Saccharomyces cerevisiae S288C: one gene and its partner. The gene in region 2 interacts genetically with the main gene of each other region. Each region holds a gene or a part of one and is shown on either strand. Other genes may lie near its edges.

The links.
Region 1: mutations in DUS1 (region 2) and TRM82 impair growth when combined (synthetic growth defect), as found in Saccharomyces cerevisiae (one study listed by BioGRID).

The regions. Positions count from the first base shown.
Region 1 is NC_001136.10:783,309-786,705, reverse strand, and holds TRM82 (Trm82p), read right to left. Parts: upstream 1,836-3,397; coding exon 501-1,835; downstream 1-500. Other genes in the region: exocyst subunit SEC5, read left to right, coding at 1-400; SEC1 (Sec1p), read left to right, coding at 2,491-3,397. UniProt on the Saccharomyces cerevisiae protein: Required for the formation of N(7)-methylguanine at position 46 (m7G46) in tRNA, a modification required to maintain stability of tRNAs; its absence resulting in tRNA decay.
Region 2 is NC_001145.3:106,669-110,814, reverse strand, and holds DUS1 (tRNA dihydrouridine synthase), read right to left. Parts: upstream 2,010-4,146; coding exon 738-2,009; downstream 1-737. Other genes in the region: CFF1 (Cff1p), read right to left, coding at 1-568; TDA9 (Tda9p), read right to left, coding at 2,283-4,146. UniProt on the Saccharomyces cerevisiae protein: Catalyzes the synthesis of dihydrouridine, a modified base found in the D-loop of most tRNAs. Specifically modifies U16 and U17 in cytoplasmic tRNAs. Also able to mediate dihydrouridylation of some mRNAs, thereby affecting their translation.

The DNA of each region.
Region 1 (3,397 bases), on a different chromosome or scaffold from region 2:
GTATACATCAAATTCATTCAGGGTTGGTGACTATATTATAGAAGCGTTAATGATTCTGATCGTGGTTCACAGTGAGTGCTTTAGAATTGGGCCTCAGCTCATCCATAAGATTTTAATTGAAACGCAGATTTTTATAGCCAGATACCTCTTTGAGGCATTTAAGCCTTATGTTGGTAATCTTTCTAATGATGGCTCATTACAAATTATAGTGGATTTGGAATTCTTTCAGAAGGTTATGGGTCCTTTACTTGAAAAGGACACCGAGGCCACATTAAGGGCGTGCTTACAAAACTGTTTCCAGAACGACACAAATAGACTACAAAAATGTATCAATGAGATTAATCCTATTGTATCTGCCAATTTAAAAAGAACTGCTATTCAATTCGCCGCCTTCAGCTAGAAACAGAGGTATAAAGATGTACTAACAATGATTATTAACACAAATCGGTACGTATCTTTTTTTATATTAGTTATAAAGATGTACTTACTACCTTTTTATTTCACGAGTAATGTTCTCCATGTTTTCTTAACGAGGAAACATTGTATAACGGGTAAATTTCTTCTTTCTTGGTCACCAAGTTAGAATCCCCTTGTACTGATTGTATGATGGCACTGTCAAATTCGTTTGATTTTTCATTATTCACGACAAAACTATTCTCATTTAAGTTATATTCAATGAATTTGGCAAAATTTTTTTGCACACCAGATGATTCCTTATTATCTAGGGTGACTTGGAATTCATCATTATGGGCGGATAATGAGATAACATTATATGGAAAAGTTATAATTTGCTTTAGTGCAAGATCCCCTTTTTGTTTTTCGGACATTTCCAGAATTATTATGCATTTTGTAGCTTCGACGAAAAACGCAACAAACGGTAGGTTCTTTGACTTTATAATTTTACTAACTGCAAATTCAATAATATCATTATTTTCATTTTGAAATCTTGGTGGTGCTAAATGCTGATCATTCAAATAAGGTTTAATCAAACTATTATAATCGAAGGTAGACAAGTTCTTACCAGTTTTCCAATCCCAAGCGAAGATTTTATCGTCACCACCTGCACTTAATAATAAATAGTCTTTGCCACAGCATATGGAAGAAACAAAATGCTTATGACCAAAGAGCCATTTGTCCACAATGAAACATTGGGGATAATGCGAAATTTTAATATGCTCATCTCTATCACTTGTAATTATGAATTGATGACCGTCAGAGTCTTTAATCAAGTGTACATCAGTCAACATAGAGACATGACCGAGAATAGGTTCTTGAGTAAACTTTTCTTCCGGGATAGAATTAATATCAATAGAATATACATCACCAAATTTGTCAGCTATTATGACTGTAGTATCATCTTCGGCTATAGAAATAGCATTCGGTCTCTTTGAGAAGCAGAACCTTTTTCTCAACTTTAAGACATTTTTGGAAGTTTTGTCGACATCGAAAACTAGGAGGGACTTGTCAGAATCTGCGCACGCAATTAGTCTTGATTCATCCGAAGTTAATCTCAGATTTCTTATGTACGAATATATCGGTGGGGCGCCAAGACCTGGAGATGGTACCTTGGCTGCTGTCCTTTTAATGGAATCGCCTTTATTACTTTTCAATTTTTTGTTCTCGTTTTCGTTTTCGCTGGATTGTCCTTGTTGCTCCTTAGCAGTGGTGTTTCTCGATTCTTGAATTTTGTCGAAATCATCAGACCATTTTCCAGCAAATTCCCAATGATTTGGCGATTGATATTTGAAGCTTAAGATACAATTCTTAATGATGGCGAAAACTAATGAGCCATCACGAGAGGTGAGTAAATTCTGCAAAGGATGAATGACGCTCATTGTAAAACACGCGGACTGCTTCAAATTGACAAACCTTGCTATACTTTAGCTGCTAATATATCATCAATACGCCTTTACTAGTAAAAAATTTTTTCATCTCATCGATTTTTTTCACCTCGCCATTTTTTTCGCTGATTAAAAGAAATGTATCTGAGATAAGTGCCATATTTAATGACAGCAGCGTAAAATAAGAATATGTAACGATACAATAAGAAAACTATGTTTATGTGTCACCTCTTGCTTGCGTCTTGGGAAAAGCATTCCCAATAACAGAATACTAAACCGGATGTAGTAGCCCTCTTAGTTTTTCTATCTAACATGTCCATCCTCCTGGATCAAAATATCAGTAATCTTGTATTCCTTACTTGCGATACAGCTATTATTACAGGCACTCTTTAAAAATCATCGAATAGCCGATCGACTACACACTTATCCCTATAACATGGTGTAAGTGATAGAGAGGTGAATGGCGGCGTCGTCTTATGTTCTCGCAATTATTGGTAGATGGTCACACAGCACGGTGTTTTTCTTTTGCTTAAACGATCAGTTTAAGTCCCTATTGAAACTAGTAAGACATTGCTTTGTAAGACCTTGAAAATAATTAGAATCCACTGACAAAGTAGAAGAGTGTGCACATGCTTGGTTTGGCGGAACGATGTCTGATTTAATTGAATTACAGAGGAACTATTTGATAGGGGTTTTGAATCAGATTGAGACGAAAAATAACTTGAAGTTTCTTATTATCGATAAAACTGTGGAGACAATATTGAGTTATCTTTTCCTCACACCCCAAGAACTTTTAAATAATGTCACATCTGTTGATTTGATTGATTCCCCAACAAGAAAAGGACAATCCTCCATCGAGGCAATTTACATATTGGAACCAACGAAATATAACATCAATTGTATCGATGCTGACTTCATGGTAAGACCACCTAAGTACAGAAGATGTCACATCAGATTTTTACCAGGATTAACAAACCCTATATTTCAGTTTTTTCAATCAAAACGTTACATTGCTCAAAATTTGGAGTCATTTAAGCCGATCGAACTAGGGTTTTTCGTCAAAGAATCTCAATTCTTCGAAACTTTACAAATGGAACACTCATTACAGGTTTTTTTCAACAACAACTGTAAGGCTTTGATTCCTACTAACGTGAGGAAGATTGTAGGCTCACTAGTTAGTTTGTGTGTTATTACGGGGGAATATCCGATTGTTAGATATTCTGTATCTAATCCTGTGGAAGAGGAAGATGCCCGCAATGGAAACGCCGTAGTCAACGCAAATTCTTTAACAAGGTCTATTGCAAACGCTTTCCAAATAGCGATAGATACATACGCTCGCAATAATCCAGATTTCCCTCCTCAAAACACTGAAAGACCGCGTTCCATTCTAATAATCACCGATAGAACACTGGACCCTTTTGCGCCAATATTACATGATTTTAGCTATCAAGCAATGGCTTATGACCTGGTAGCTAATGTGGACACACAAAAAGATATATATCATTATTCTGCCGAGAATGAAGCTGGTGAGCAAGAGGAAAAGGTTTCAAAATTGG
Region 2 (4,146 bases):
CCACAAGATGTTTCAGTTCATCTTCACCCTTCAAGAAGGTATGGTCCTCAAAGTCAAAACCTGGTACCACTACTTCACTAATCAAGAAACCGTTGTCAAATTCTTCGTTTGGCAGAAGGAAACTTGCCTTAAACACACCTCCGGGGACAACCCATTGCGAGACTTCTCCATTCTTATAGTCAAAACCAACTTTAAATGACTTCACTTGACCATCAGGATATACTAGAACGTATTGACCCTTGCCTCTTTGTAAGATATGTATGATCCTGTTAATATTCTTATGAAATTTCCCAATTGGGCTGTCGGGGGTTAGTAGATAATAGATCAACGTAGATTGATTTCTTGTTACCATTTCAGTATTACCTGAGCCTCCATTTACTGGTTTTTCTACTTCCATGGTGTAGGGAGACCTATCTGTTTCCTTAAAATACCCACCTTCTCTATGCTTGATTAATTGCCAATCATTGATCAATTGTTGCAAACTACTTGGTGGCTCAGGCATTGGGACTTTAACGAAACTGGCCGGCTCTATAGCTGCATTTGCAGCTTCTTGTACATTGGCTGACATGCTCTCTATGGCGAATTCTGATTGAATATACAAGTGTTCAAATTGAAAGAAGTTTTCTTATGGAGACGGAGTTGAACATTTTCTGTTTGAATTAATATACATACATAAAAACTATACTTAGAGAAAAGAATAGAAAAGGCAAAGAAATATACATGGATTTTATCAGGTTTTAAGCTTTCACGTCCTTCTTTTTATCAGCAGATTCTAATGGCACGTCAGCTTTACGTTTCTTGTTCACGCTTTCATCTATGAGGCCTTGCATAACTCTTTTATCACCTGTGATACCGTTAACAGGCCTAAAATATGGTTGACATCTCCAGTATGGAACAGTTCTATATGAACCACCCCATGATTGCTTTTCGCCGATAGTAATTTCATCCTTAATAGCGATATCTGGCTGTTCAAATATTTCTTGCACTACTTTTTCGACAGGCTTCACTACTTGTTCCTCCCATTCTTCCCACGTGGCTTTTGCATTCATAGTAGCAAGTGTTGACCTAATATCAGTATGATGCGGCAAGAAAGGCCTTAAAATCTTAAAAAAATGTGATTTCATTGCTGTCTTGGAGGCTTTAGATTCCTGGCATTCTTTGACAATCTGGAAATACTCTCTGATAATCTTATCTACGCGTGGAAATATCTTCTCCTTGTTCTTAGTTTGGCCTACATTGAAAACACCAGGATTGTATAAGTTCCCCTCAGCACTCATCACTGCGTCAGCACCGATATGTTCCATACAACGTGAAATATCTTCAGGATATAAGATATTCCCGTTAGCAAAAAACACGGTTTCTTTAGGTAAATTATCTCTTAGGTATTTGATTGTTTCCCAGTTAGCTAAACCAGTTTTTTGTCCTTTTTGCTCTCTTACTCTCCCATGGACGGTTAAAAATTGAGCTCCAGCATCCAGCACCATCTTGGCGTAATTCAAACTCTTTTCACAGTCGTCAAATATACGTATTTTTGCTGTAACTGGAACTTTCAAATTTTTGTGCAAGGTGTTGATTAAATTGTGTATAAGGTCCCATTCTTCCATCAAAAATGACCCATAGTGACCTTTCTTAGCTATGCCTTGAGGACAGCCCAAATTCAAATCTACCGCATCGCATTTATCTTCCACCAGTTTAGCTGCCGCCAATAGATACTCTGGGTCATTAGCGCAGAACTGTACAACCAACGGCCTATCTACGCTAGAGCCGTCTAAGGAAGACCAATTATCTTCTCTATATTTCTTCGAGGTAGCAAATAATTTTGCATGTAACATGGGAGTGTACGCCAAGGTTGCACCGTATCTTCTCGATAGAATACGCCATGCTAATTCGGATTGGTCTACCATTGGTGCAACGATCCTAGTAGGACGGCCGATCTTGTCAAAAAGTTGTCGACCTGTTAGTTTTTGCATCAGAGCGTTATTAGCGCTACTCAGGGCAGGTTCAGTCATATGCAGTTGATATTGTTTATTGAGCTTATTGCGAGCCTGTAAAAACTTGGATAGTATAGACGATAGCACTTTGGGAGCTAAAAATCTATGTGTGCGTGAGTGCAGTTTGACGATCACCTTGCTTGTTTTTATTTATCATATGTTCTCAACTCATCGATTTTTTTTTTTGATTTTCACGCTTTTAAGAATAAGAAAAGATGATTAAATTTTTCAATTTGCCCTAAAGAACTAATATAATGTTACATACGGATATGCTAAATATCTATCTAAAGTCTATACACTGTTTACAGATTTCCTGTGGTTGATATTGTAAATAGCCCTAGATTGTAAGGCATGAGCAAACAACAGAGATACGGGCCAGACTGGTGTATCGCCAAGAATTCTAGCACCGCAATACAATGTTCTTGATGACAATCTTGTTCTCGTGATTATGTCCAGCGCTTGATTGGTAACATCATGTGAATTCAAAGTATTCTCTATTAAGGATGAGTCCAAACTCTCAATATCAAGACTGCCATTATCTGGAACCCTTAAAAACTCAGCAAATGTTTGTAATTTATACTCTCTTTCAGATAAATGTGATTCGATCCTCTTCAAAGTTTTGAATGCTTTTAACCACAAGATCCTGTCAGTGCTTTTTAAACTACCAATCATACAATCACTGTTTTTGTTTTGAGCAAAGTCTTCCAATCTCCTCATGTACCCCGCTATGACCAATATCGAAACAAAAATACAAGTAATGGTGAAGATTGGAGTCTGTGTCGATTTACCCTTCATTACAGAGACAGTATCAATCCAGAAAGTGATAACGGATACAGCGTACTCTGTGGCCTCTCGTAGTGATTCCCGCTCGTAGCACACTTTTTCTAAAGAGCTATTCATTGAGTTCCAGTCTTGGTTCCAAATGCATCTTAGTGTTGGAGCAATATCAAGGCACTTCCTTAGCTTTGCAAAGAAGTACAAGGGAATTATCAATCTAAACGACGGATTAGTATTTATTATTGGCAGGTTTTCGTCACTGAGAGCCAATATCCCACCATTTTTGATGTAAAGTAGTTCCCAATGTTTTAGCATTGTGGCGACCAAGGGTCTTGAATGCATCCGCCACTGAACATTCTTCGCATGGAAATCGCTTTCGTAACTATCTTTCAACGCATCTCTTTCGATGTTTATCTTTTCATGAATAGAGATCAGTAAAGATAGCAAAGTCTTGAATGAGATTTTAGCGTTTTTATAAAGATAAGGATTACCGTTTGACAAATACATCAAGCACTTCTCGTAGTTTGATTCACCATTAGATACTTCAATTAGGGAAAACTTGGAATCCAAAACGATATTGAATCTCGTCAAGTTCTCATTCCAAGTTCTTGAATTTTCGCAAAAGAACAGTACCTCGTTGTAACAAGGAACACCACACTTCAAATCTATGGAATGAAAACAACAATCGAAATCCACTAAGGATTTAAAGAGGTTAGAAATCAGCAGGACTATGTGGCATATTCTTATTCTTGATTGTGCTAAGATAAAATATTTGAAATTTCTGTTTATTTGTTCACGGGTATTGTATTGAGCCTTGAACTGGTTCAAAACAGCGGGGTTATCTTGATATTCTAAAACATGGTCACTTTCGATCGGTGGCTTAATGAAGTTTTCTAATGGGTAATTCAACTTTGAAATTTTAATCAACTGAACCAAAATCATTATCTGGGTATTCACGGTTCTAAAGGCATTCATATCATTGGAGAAAATGCTGGTAAACGTTAATAAGACTAAAGATTGCATTAGCCAAATTGGTGTCTTATCATGATTGCTTCGAGTATTTTCTAGGAACATTCTAACTCTCGTCCTTGCTATTTTCGACAATAGTAGTGCATGTGTGGAATGAAATCCGTAAAGAGCACCAATCATACTGATGGATATTACTAAAGGATAGTTTTCACTGGATGGTATAATTGAGTATAAATGAATAAAGGGGAAATATTTATGAAATTCCACTTGATATAAATCGACATAATGATTCAGTTCATCAACAGTGGGAAAGAGATTAGACTTTAGATTGTTTTCTTTAATAATTAAATTTCTCAACTGTTCTGTAAAGAAAGTCAGCTTTTGGGAGGAATCTGTCCACCCTGGCCCC